Linked DNA regions of Drosophila melanogaster. The protein of the gene in region 3 interacts with the protein of the main gene of each other region in a pairwise test. Each region holds a gene or a part of one and is shown on either strand. Other genes may lie near its edges.

The links.
Region 1: the proteins of Poxn (region 3) and ftz interact in binary tests that used the Drosophila melanogaster proteins (3 or more experiments, as listed by UniProt).
Region 2: the proteins of Poxn (region 3) and hale interact in a two-hybrid assay, tested with the Drosophila melanogaster proteins (2 studies listed by BioGRID).

What each region holds. Positions count from the first base shown.
Region 1 is NT_033777.3:6,862,693-6,866,754, forward strand, and holds ftz (fushi tarazu), read left to right. Parts: upstream 1-1,631; 5' UTR 1,632-1,701; coding exon 1,702-2,449; intron 2,450-2,596; coding exon 2,597-3,081; 3' UTR 3,082-3,552; downstream 3,553-4,062. UniProt on the Drosophila melanogaster protein: May play a role in determining neuronal identity, may be directly involved in specifying identity of individual neurons. Required during embryogenesis for the process of body segmentation.
Region 2 is NT_037436.4:19,983,914-19,987,545, reverse strand, and holds hale (hale-bopp), read left to right. Parts: upstream 1-1,677; 5' UTR 1,678-1,770; coding exon 1,771-1,991; intron 1,992-2,050; coding exon 2,051-3,050; 3' UTR 3,051-3,120; downstream 3,121-3,632. Other genes in the region: schuy (schumacher-levy), read right to left, coding at 1-763, 827-1,382; CG17732 (uncharacterized protein), read right to left, coding at 3,355-3,632.
Region 3 is NT_033778.4:15,832,054-15,837,064, reverse strand, and holds the start of Poxn (Pox neuro), read left to right. Parts: upstream 1-2,009; 5' UTR 2,010-2,382; intron 2,383-5,011. UniProt on the Drosophila melanogaster protein: Transcriptional regulator that specifies poly-innervated organs (chemosensory bristle). Also controls the number of neurons.

The DNA.
Region 1 (4,062 bases), on a different chromosome or scaffold from region 3:
GCAATCACAGGACATCGGAGAGATGCGAACTGCAGTCTCTTCTGTCAAACTGAAAAACGCCATAAATTTTGTGGAACAATGGAATCTGCCAGAGTATGCGGATGGGGTAAGGGTAGAATTCGCACATGCACACATATGTCAGGAGTATCGATATGTTAGGGGTGTTCAACGGGGGTGGCTAATAAAATTTATCCAGGCCGCGTAAGCCGATCAGAAAGTCATGTAAACACAAAAGTGGCTGAGAGATGATTGTTTTTTACCAGTCAATTTAGCTGAGCTGATTTCAGGTTATACGCGAACCTAAGATGGAAGTAGATTTTTAGATTACCAGAAATAACCTTCAGTTTCTAAAAGAATGAGAAATAGTAAATCGTGAAGCCTGTGGCATTCTTACCCCTTACTGAAATGAATGTAACAGGTAGAAGGCAGCAATTGCAGTGCTACAAAGTATATATATTCTTGATCCATATAAGTATAAGTATAAGAGCTATAATGTTATAATTAAACATGAAGATCCTACGCTGTGCAAGTTTTGTGCCACAAATTTAACTCAAGATTACCACTCACAAAGGATACATTACCATTTGGCCATTAAAAATTACAGCATCCATAGACAACCTACTTAAAATTTATAAAAACTTGAGGGTTATATCACAGAGTTACCGAAAAAAAGCGTAAAAGCTTTATATTCTCAACAATATTATGCTATTAAAATATTGCTGGTTTTCTGCTGTTATAGAATCATTTTTAAAAGTATAACGTAAAAAATAAAATAAAACTAGTATTCATTTGAAAAATCAGCGGGCATATAATTTATATCATATTTTTAAAATTTAGGCAAAGGATGTTTGCATAAAGTTTTTACTGTTTACTAGTCATTTTGGAAGTGCGTTTGTTGGTTTTTAGGCAAATACCGGGCACAGGAGTGAGTTTGGGAATCGGGAGTTGCGCACTTGCTTGGCCACGAGGGCAAACAAAAAGCGCAAACACGCGACCCTCGGCCACGCGTATTCCTGATCCCAGGGATCGGACGTAATGTTATCCTTTGGCCGCCCAGTGCCACGAAATAAATTCGGAGGGAAAGGGCATCGGGTTCCGGGAACAACTGGCAGCCAGTCTTCGGTGTTTTGCGCGCTGGCAAAAATCCAGAGAAATTTTTAGGGAACCATAAACGGGCCGGGGAAAAAGCCTCTGCCCCGAAGGAACGTTTTCAGCAACAGTTTACAGTTTTTATGTCTTTATGATTATTGCAATTAGAGGGAGATCGGCTGAGAGTCGCGCCCTCTCGCTCTGCGCACCTCATAGGTAGGCACCTCATGGCCGTAATTACTGCAGCACCGTCTCAAGGTCGCCGAGTAGGAGAAGCGCGCGGGCGGATAAATCGCGATGATAATGGGCGCGATGGGTAGGTAATAAGCCGCGCAGCAGGTAGGCACCGTACGGATAAAGTTGCCAGGACCTCGGATAACTTCCCCTCTCCGTGCCTGCAAGGACATTTCGCCGGAGGGGTGGCTGCGAACAGCAGGCGGCAAAGTGTCATGCGCAGGGATATTTATGCGCTATAACGGCGAGCGTGTGCCGAGGGCTCTCTGATTTTGCTATATATGCAGGATCTGCCGCAGGACCAGCTCATTCGCAAACTCACCAGCGTTGCGTGCACATCGCAGAGTTAGAGAAGAAATCTAGCAATACACATCCGATATGGCCACCACAAACAGCCAGAGCCACTACAGCTACGCCGACAACATGAACATGTACAACATGTATCACCCCCACAGCCTGCCGCCCACCTACTACGATAATTCAGGCAGCAATGCCTACTATCAGAACACCTCCAATTATCAGGGCTACTATCCCCAGGAGAGTTACTCGGAGAGCTGCTACTACTACAACAATCAGGAGCAGGTGACCACCCAGACTGTACCGCCCGTGCAACCCACCACCCCGCCGCCCAAGGCCACCAAGCGCAAGGCCGAAGATGATGCTGCTTCCATCATCGCCGCCGTGGAGGAGCGACCCAGCACACTGAGGGCTCTGCTCACCAATCCCGTGAAGAAGCTGAAGTACACCCCCGACTATTTCTACACAACCGTCGAGCAGGTGAAGAAGGCTCCCGCCGTAAGCACCAAGGTCACCGCCAGCCCCGCTCCCAGCTACGACCAAGAGTACGTGACTGTGCCCACGCCCAGCGCCTCCGAGGATGTCGACTACTTGGACGTCTACTCGCCCCAGTCGCAGACGCAGAAGCTGAAGAATGGCGACTTTGCCACCCCTCCGCCAACCACGCCCACCTCTCTGCCGCCCCTCGAAGGCATCAGCACGCCACCCCAATCGCCGGGGGAGAAATCCTCGTCAGCTGTCAGCCAGGAGATCAATCATCGAATTGTGACAGCCCCGAATGGAGCCGGCGATTTCAATTGGTCGCACATCGAGGAGACTTTGGCATCAGGTAGGCATCACACACGATTAACAACCCCTAAAAATACACTTTGAAAATATTGAAAATATGTTTTTGTATACATTTTTGATATTTTCAAACAATACGCAGTTATAAAACTCATTAGCTAACCCATTTTTTCTTTGCTTATGCTTACAGATTGCAAAGACTCGAAACGCACCCGTCAGACGTACACCCGCTACCAGACCCTGGAGCTCGAGAAGGAGTTCCACTTCAATAGATACATCACCCGGCGTCGTCGCATCGATATCGCCAATGCCCTGAGCCTGAGCGAAAGGCAGATCAAGATCTGGTTCCAAAACCGACGCATGAAGTCGAAGAAGGATCGCACGCTGGACAGCTCCCCGGAGCACTGTGGTGCCGGCTACACCGCGATGCTGCCGCCACTGGAGGCCACAAGCACCGCCACCACCGGGGCACCATCGGTGCCAGTGCCCATGTACCACCACCACCAAACCACCGCCGCCTACCCCGCTTACAGCCACAGTCACAGTCATGGTTATGGCCTGCTCAATGATTACCCTCAGCAGCAGACCCACCAGCAGTACGATGCCTACCCGCAGCAGTACCAACATCAGTGCAGCTACCAGCAACATCCACAGGACCTCTACCATCTGTCTTGAGGTCCGGCGATGCTCAGTTACTCTCTTCCCCAGAGCGGAACCGAAAGCCGTACCGCCACGAAACCGAAGCGCACTTCTCTCGACCATTTGTAGGTGACACGCAAATGACACAGCCGAGAACGAAGCTGCGACGCGATGAGTTGCACAGTAGAGGGCGCACTCCCTACGGTGCCCAGGACATTTTGGGCACAAGGACGAGTGCGCAAGTGCAGAAGGCAGAGGCAAAAGAGGCAGCGCAAACAGAAAAGGAGCCTTGCTGCGCGCGGAACCCAGTGGCTGGCCATGATGGGTTCTCAGCGATCGATTAGCTGCGGCCAAACACAAGCCCAAAACACTCAGCTGGGAGTGATAATGGCCAAGAGACTTGGAGACTGACACACATGTTTTTGTACATATAGTAGTTAAGATATTCCTATCATAGAATTCTATTTATTTAAATATACGAGTAAAGTAAATCGATCGAATTTAAACAAATCAAGTTGAACATTCATTTGGCAATTTGTGAAGAAGAGTCTTGGGCATGCTGCAATTTGACTGCTTTAAAATTTTAAATTTATAGGCCGTGGGCCGCGTATGTGGAATACATTTCATATGTATATGTGTTGAAATAAAATTAAATGCCTTTCAATGATAACTACTCAATAAATTCTTAAAATAGTTTGGATCAACGTATGGTATTTGTCTAACTACTTTCACCGAAAACATATCACAAGGCAAAGTTTACCTTCAGCCTATTTTCATACCTTATATATGCATATAATACATATATATGATAAAAATGGAGTTTAGGAGTTAAGGAGTTTAAATTATTTAAGTATAAGCCTAATATTTAATTGTTCGTTGAGAAGCTTAAGAGATCTCTTGGTTTACTTTCTGATGAATTGCACATGGTTGAAGCATTACTTTCGAACTTATACGAAACGCAAACGATTTAATGTTGAGCACGAATCGTACAAATTCGAGCAGCTGCATTTTGTCGCT
Region 2 (3,632 bases), on a different chromosome or scaffold from region 3:
AAGGGTCCCAGGCAGTGGCAACAAGGATGGGGGTGCGTCCTGCACTGGGAACACTGGTTGCACAAGGATTGGCACGAGCAACAGGGATAAAATCCTCCAGAAATCGGAATATTCGGCTGCTGCTGCAGCGCACAAGTGGAGGTTCCGAGAACTGGGTGCATCATGTGCTGGCTGATCTGACCACCTAATCCCATAGAAGGATGTGATTCCATGCTCGACAAAGGACAGCAGGATGTACCACCGTTGTAGCAGCCGTTTGCAAAACTCTCCGGCTTCAACATGCAGCAGTTGCTTCCGTTGGCTGGACATTGATACTGATTGCCCATCTGCATTGGGCAGACTTGACTCGTCCTCGACGGACAGCAATTGCTGCACGTGCAGCAGGAGCAGCTGGACATGCTGCTCGGCGTGGCGCACAGGAACTGCTGGCCAGGATACATGACAGGACAACCCGATGTTGCCGTCCCCGGCTGATTCATGTGCATAAAACTGATGGTCACATATGGCGAGTTGTTGGTCGGTTGAACTCGCACGTTCGGGTGTTGCTGCAGCGTCAAATGCTGCTGCATATGTTGCTGCTGCTGCTGCAGCACATTCTGCTGCATGTTCTGATGTTGCAGCAAGGACATTTGCTGTTGATGCTGCTCATTCAGCGACGGTTGTCGCTGTTGTTGCTGTTGCTCCCGATTTAATTTTAAAAGTTTTTGTCGGACCTGGGCTGCAGTTTGAAGGGATAACTTCCGAGCGGCTTGTACAGTGTTACCTGGGGAATAAAGAGGGAGGAAGGAACATAAATATAGAAGCAATCTAAAATGAATAATATAACCTTTCTGGTTGCTATTGCTGGTGGTTGGATACTGCGGAAAGGCTTTGTCCGTCTGGGATCCTGCATTAGAAATGGCGTAGGAACGCGAGGTCTGCTGCGTCTGACACTTGCCGGTTTGGTCTTCCTTCGACTGTTCTATGTCCTGTTGAATCCGATTCCTAGCCAAAGCATCCTCGAGAACCACGAACGAAGGTCTATTCGCCAGATCCTTGTTGCAGATCTTAACGAAAGGCGGCAAAGTTTCGGTTTTCTTGATCTCCTCTATGGACTTGTCATTCTTGCTCTTCTCCAGCTTTTCAGTTGAGTCATCATCGATGTCATTTGAATTCCCTTTGAGCACAGCTATGCACTCTTTCTTGGTTTCCTTAGTGCCATTCGTCAGTGGGGAGTTACTACTGTCTGCTCCGCTTTGGGGATTCTTGCATTCCTGATTAAGTGAGCTAATTTCGATGAGACCATCAGTGCCCACGGTAATCATGAAACAGCATTTGGCCACCGTTTCGTCATTTGATTTGGCCAATTGCCCTGATGATTCATTCTCGCCTGGGGCCTCCATTTTCCTGAATTTTGATGTGTTTTCCGGGTGTTGTGAGTTGATGTTTCCTAACGCATATCAAAAAGTATATCAGGCGACAAATGTACTGTCAACTTTGAAATGCTCATCGAAACTGGATTTCCCTTACTGTGTAAGTAGTGACCAAAACGTTCTTGGTGTTTAAGATTTTAGAACCATATTAATATTAATAAGATAAAATTATTTAAAAACTTGAAACAGTATTTATTTCTTAAAATAATTCAAATTATATACTAGAGAAGCAAGTCTGGTATCAATCAGTATGTCTCAGCTTTATGATGTCAAACATTTCTACACCTTTTGTGCTTTAACATGTACACAAAATTGTCATATCCGTGAGTTGGCCTCTCCGGGTGGTGAAGAGTTGAAGATGTTCTGCACGGAGAGCTGTGAGCACGGATGCAATGCAACCTCGTCGGGCAAGCTGATCGCCAATGGAAACGGTGGCGGCCTGCAGTCGCAGGGAAATTCACAGCATCAGTTCACCATGTCCTACGCTCCACTGTCGACCAACGATGTGCCCTCCAAGTCCGAGGTGGAACCACCGCGACTGGGCATGTGCCTGGTCACCGAGTGTCCAGAGGGTCTGAGGTAATTTATACATGAATTTCCATGAAAAGTGATTCGATTTCTACTCCCTTCCTCTCCAGCATTGACTGCAATGTGCCACTGCCGAATTCTTTCAATTTGGATGAATACAAAAATCACATGATCTGCTCGAGCTGTACCCAGTTCAATGGTGGCTTGGACAGATTTGGCCAGCCAGGTACAGCCGGTCCAAGTGCCAGTCCTAGTGCCAATCCATATCCAACTCCGATGCCCAATCCCATCCAGGCCTCTCCTTGCAGCTTTCATGGCCAGTGTTGTTCAGCCGGTGGACCATGCGCTGGATATGATTCGCAGCCAAATCCATCAAGATGCTATCGACAGGAATCATCGTTGGCTCAAGGAGCCCCAGCGATGCCGCAGATCTTTTGCCTGGCACCACCCAGTTCCCATGGTGGCTTAAATCAGCCCGTTTACTTGTGCAGCCTGATTCCAGTTCCGCCATCGTGGAACCTGGTGCCGCTGGCCCAACCGCAGCACTTGACGCATCAGCAGCTGCTGACGAATCCCGCACAGGACTCGCAGCTGCCGTTGCAGCAATTGGTGCAGTACGACCTGTCCTTCAATCGCCTGCTGGCCGAATTGCGCAAGGAACGGGAGAGGTCCTGTTGTGACCTGCAGATCCCCCAGCCTCTGGCTTTCCAGCTGTATGCGCCCACGGTTAGGTTTCTAGATCAGCCAGATTCCAGTTCGGCGAAGAGAGAGCCTCATTGCCCGCCGGCAGCTCCTTGTGCTCCTCCAGCTGCACCACCACAACCACCATCCTCGTCATCATCCCCAACAGCCACATCTGCCTCCGCCGCCGGGCTGCCAAGAGCTCGTTCGGCCAGCCCGAAGCGCAGTCGTTCGTGTCTCCGGAACAAGGATCTCTGGGACAGTGGCGGATCCGTACCAGGTCCATCCCCCTGCTCCTCGCCCACCCAACATGCGACCGGAAATGTGTGCATGAAGTGCGGAAACTGCTGGCATTGTCCGCGCTGCAACTGCTCCAACTGCTTCTGGCATCCCGGCTTGGTGCGAGCTCCTCCAAGAGATGGTCGCTAGGGAAGGGGACTAAGAGCCACTCCTACACTGTAAAAGAAGAAAGTGTAATAAAATTCCAAGACTTTTAAGCAAGCAGCTTGCCACTATTTCTTAATTGAATTCAATAATAAGAATATTTATTCTTGCAATATGAAGAGAGAGTCACTTTTAAGGTTTTTTTTTCGTTTATTAGTTTGTAATATTTAAACCCTATTTATAAATATTTTATGATACATAAAAAATGAATTCTTTCACAATTTCTACAGCAGCTAGGACTTATATCACAAGTAATGTTCGTTAAACAATGAACTGTAATTAAAAGTAATTATCGATCAGCCTGCATGTTCATAAAGCTAGCCACGTAGTTGGACATGACCGAGTTTATTCCGAAATGGTCGTTTCTGGGCTCAAGGGGTTGGGATTGCAAATTCCGGTGGCCGGGCAAGATCAGCGAAGCTGGCGGCAAGGGAGTTCTTATTTGGCAAGGATACGGATCCGTTCCCAGCTCAGAAATCCTTGTGCGACAACGCCTCACTTTCCGGGCAGAGGGACTAACTTGGGTGCAGGTCCTGCTGCTGGATTGGCAATACGGAGGTGGCGGAA
Region 3 (5,011 bases):
GCATAATCGCCTTGTCAGATAGGGCAAGACACACGTTGAAGGACCCGCGGAGGGGGTGGCCCATGAACAAGCATACTGGGCGTTGGGCGTGGCCAGTTGGGTGGGCCAGTGGACTGAAGGACCAAAGGACTCTGTGCCAAAAGAGACAGAGAGGTGTGTGTTGATGCCACCACGCACGGTTGACTCGCTTGATCTTATTACGCCGCGCTTGGTTGCCTGGGAAAAGTCAGAGGCAGCTGCTCGGATAGCTCGGATGGCTGGTAAATGGCAAATGGTTACCGGCAACCCGGCCTTTGTGACAGTTTTATCTCTGGCCAGCAGAAGCTATTGCCAAGCTCTTGCCATCCTCCTGCCATGGGAAAGCCATCGCGCTGAGTGGGCCTAAGAATTTTGCATGTTTTCGCACAGGTTTTTGTGGTTTTTGGTAGCAAGTGGATTTGCATACGCCACGCGGCTCCAAAAAACGGGTTAGGCTTTAGCCAGTCTTGGTGGATCAGGAGTTCCCCCTGCTAGGGACCATTGATTTCCTAGTCATGGCAACTAATTTCCATTCATCATGTTCGGTACCTCGAATGGATCAATAATCCGGACTCCTCCCTTGGAACAATCACAAACAATGTGACAGCTTTATCTTTCAGCACCAGTCGCCGTCGCAGTGAAAATCCATTTCCAATTGTGAATGCCGAGCGACAATTGTCGAATTCAATTAACGCCTGCGGCACCACCGAGCGTTACTTAACGCCGACACCCACCCAACGACCTCCGCCTCCTGCCGCTCCTCCTACTCCTCCTCCTCCTCCTCTCCCCCGGGAGTTTCCAGCGGGTGGGCAAGGACGAGCCGTAGCTGTGGCCGTAGCTGTGGCTGTTTCGCCAGGGTAACGGCTATGCAGTGTCACAATGCGGATGTGGATGTGGATGGGGTCCTTGGAGTGGGCGAGATACATACACTATCAGTTTCTATGAACCACACGATGCAGGACGTGGGCGGGGGGCGGGAGTGAGAGCGTTTGCGTGCTGCGTTGCCTCCGCCGATTGGCCGGAACGCGGCTGCAACGGCAACGCATCGGCTGCGGAAACGGCCACGGATAAGGCTACGCTCTGCCGCAACGCTCTCTGGCCGGAACTCGCCGACCATCCACACCAAATTCTACTACCCCCAGAGCGTTCACAGAGCGAAGGCGGGCTGCACGGACGTCATGCAATCGCACAGTGGAGCAAAAGTTGCAAGCTGGATTGTACTGAACTTGCTCGGTTTTTGCTCATAACATTAAGTTTGTGTACCAAGTTAGAAAAACAATTTTGACACTAAACTATTAGTTTCAAATCAGGTGGCTCATTCTTAACATTTCAAAGTAGCTTTAATGTAAAAGGTCATGGTATCATGCTTCTATAAGGTTTCCTTTCTTCCCAAATATATTACAATGTAATCCTAAAAAGTTTTGAACTCTTAAATCACAAAGATAGTTTAGTTAGCTGCACTTGAGTATCATCACAATTTTTACTACTAACCAACTAATCAACTAACCAGATTAGCAATGTTTATCTACAAAGGTAACTGCGTATTAGTCACTCTCTGAATATAGTGGCTTTACGTAATTACCCCTAATTTCAATGCGGTTTTCTATGCTGTTGAAATCGACCTAGCCCACTAGCCTCTAGCTTCACACTTGACCCACTGTGCCCGTGTCGATTTCGCTCCCGGAGGACGTGTCACCTGGCCCCCACCCCTGCTGCCGAATCTGGCCAATGGCAGCTCACCGTCGGCGCAGCGTGCGACGCATGCGCACCGGGCCAGCTCTCTGATTGGCTCTCATTGGCTGGCGGTGGGCCAAATGGGGCTGAAACCGACGCGGACGTCGCAGCCGTGAAAAACCGGTTACACCAGAAAAACGGTTCGTCCGTGAGTCCGTGAACGCTTGTGTCAGTGTGTGCGGGCCGCGTATTACGAGTGTGTTAGTGAGCGGCGGCTTTTCGGTGGCGTTTTGGGCCGCTCTGCTTGGCGGCGCTTCAGTAGAAATTGTCGGCTGATGGACCGCGGGCGAGGCACGAAGCCAACTCTCAATTTCCACTGCTACCGCCACTGCCACTGCCACAAAAATTGATCGAATCGATGCGCCGGTCCCGCGATTCGCGTGCAGTTAGTCGAATTTTTGACGGTCGAGTGACAAGGTGCGTCGCGTTCCGAACTCCCAAATAAGAATCATACAGAAGCCATTAGCCGTCGCGCCTCCGAACTGAGTAATCGGCCATTATCCGCGGAATAAGCCACACGGTGCATGCAAAACTCGAGCGGAAAGTGTTGTGCTCAAGTGATCAAAGGATTCGAACCAAGTTGCGGCAAAGTTATTGGATAGCCGGCGAATTCAGTGCTCTAAGTTTAAGGTGAGCACATCTTTTGAATTATATATTTCAAAAGTATAACCATCTAGGAAAGATACTATTCATGGAAGATTATCCGTTTTTGGTCAAGCTTTTATGCTTGCACAACGTTTTTAAATTGAGCTTCACCAAGTTATGTTGAATTGGTAAAGTTTAAGTGTTCATTTGCTATCTAGATTATAAAAAATAGAACATAAAAAGATAAAAAACTAGCAGATTCAAGTATCTGTTATAATATTCCATAGATCGTTTATAACGAATTGTCATTATTATTGGCATAAATTAGTTAGAATACATTTGCTTGGATCTGAAAATAAATTTGAGCTTTTATTTGAATCTGCTTCATTAAATGAAATTAGATGACAACTTTATTAGTTCACTGACAAGTTTTTAGATTGTATATTTTGTTGATTTGGATTTTACGCCAGATGTGCTATCTCGTTTTCTACTCGAGACCAGATAAGCTTAATTGAACTTGGTGAAAAGTGCACACATTGCATTTTGAGTGCAGACACATTCTAATCCGTAATATTATGCCAACACTTGACAAAAGCTAACGACGATGACTTATCGGCGTCTTAATTAAGATCTGGTCGCATCCATCGACCTGCCCATAATGACCACCATAAACGATCGTAATCAATTTGTTTGCGCATAATTTGCTTTCTCAACAACTAAATCATTAAAAATCGAGTCGCTCCCGATCAGGTTGCGGCGTTTTTGAAAGACTTTAATAACGATATTTGCTTATCGAGTTCGACACATCGGTCTCAAGTCCGACCTCGTCCCCCCAGACCCAACGCCCTGCCATCGATCGGCTTATTTCTTAATGAACGACGATCTGATCTAACGGATCGAGTCTGAACGGAACCAAACGGGGCGATCTTCATTCAACCGGCGGCGTTAGTTTCGGCCAAGATTCGATTCCAATAATATTCGAATAATATTCATGTTGTGAATGAAGTGGAAGATGCCACCGGATGGCCTGAATCGAATTTGCAATGCAAAACTACGGCCAATTGAACTTCCGCCGCACCGAGATAACTCATTTAAAGCGGACCAATCGATCGTTGGCCAGACTGCCAACGATCGATGACTGCCTTTTTGGCCAGACTTTAGTTTTCCCACGACCACGGCGAGCGACAAAAGTCAAAAATCGTATGCTAATTAATTCTTTGTCATGCCGTCGTTTCTGGCTGCCATTATGGCCCATTGACTTGTGTGCTTTCTAAGCCAAAGCCCAAGCCACCGGCTTTCGGGGCTTTTGGCCATCGGCAACGAGGCAACGAGCCGTCGGACAACTTACTTAAGCGTGGTCCAGAAAGAGCAAGCTAATCATATTCAAATGGTGAAGCGTACGTTTTATTATAATTTTTTTATTTTAATTAGCGGCTGTTAATGCCCCGCTTGGCTCTGGCTTCGATCGATCCATTGATCTGCGGGGGGGGCAGCAAATGATAAAAAATAAAATCAAGGGAGAGGGTTCCGAAACAGAAGCTCGGCCAACCTGTCGGTTCCACTTTCGGTAATCGCACGAATTTAAATTATTGTATGTTTAACTAATTTCTATCGGTTTTTATGTCTGTTCCGCTTGACATGTGCACGGAGCTAATTGAGACTTACGAGTTGAGGATTGTGGAGAAATCGGTAGCACTTGGGGAAGATACTAATTATACTCGTATATTATCCCCCCTGAAAACCAGAAAGCGGTTCTCGAGAACCCAGATTAGCAACATCCCTATATATATAACTCGCAATTTGGCCTCAAGATCGCATTCAACATTTAAAATTGTAGCCGTTGTGGATCTGGAAAAAACCTTTGCTACGCGTTCACATTTTATAAGGTCTCTTAAAATTAGAGGGGATTTTTTGGTCTCACCAGATACTTTGGATCACTGCTTGTTAGTTAGATTAGATATATTTCCAAAAGTAATACCTCAAATTTAGGTTTTTGTGTTCTGCAAGATACATTTTTCAGCATTCTAAGGATGGATCGTACCCAATAATTGATAATTAACACGTGTAGAAGTGGCAAAGCAAGTGGAATAGTCGCATATTTCTAGGGGTTGCTACTATGTCCGGAACTATTTAGTTTTGACTGCTCACTGGCCTCGATTGGGCCACGAAAAATTCCAGAGAAATGGGCGAGCAGCACGCCAGAGGGGAAATTAACCCTTTCATTGCGGCCAAATTGGATTTGGCCGGAATGTCTATTTCACTTTCTACAAAACCGAGTGGATTTGCAATCCTTATCGCACTGTCGGCCAAATCGTGGCCCCGGGCCAACTGCTAACTTTATGGCCTTAACGGCCAGCACGAGTTTCCCGTTCGCGGTGAGTGGTAACCGAAAAACTGAGACGGAGACTGAGAAGGTCCAAAAAAAACCTAATGAACAACTTAATTTCGAGTTCTTTTTTTCTCGTTCTGTTTGGTGTTTTTTCCGTTTTTTTTTTTTATTTCAAAGGGGGAGTGTGTGGTGCGTGCGGTGGTTCGGTGGCTTAACACGCGCATTTCGGTGGTTTTACGAGCTGAAAAGCGGCAAGGGAGCTGGACGAAGGACTCCCGGGCTCGGCAATTAAATCAAATGTGAATTCCATAATAACATGGCCATGACAAAGTGTGGACCGTCGGC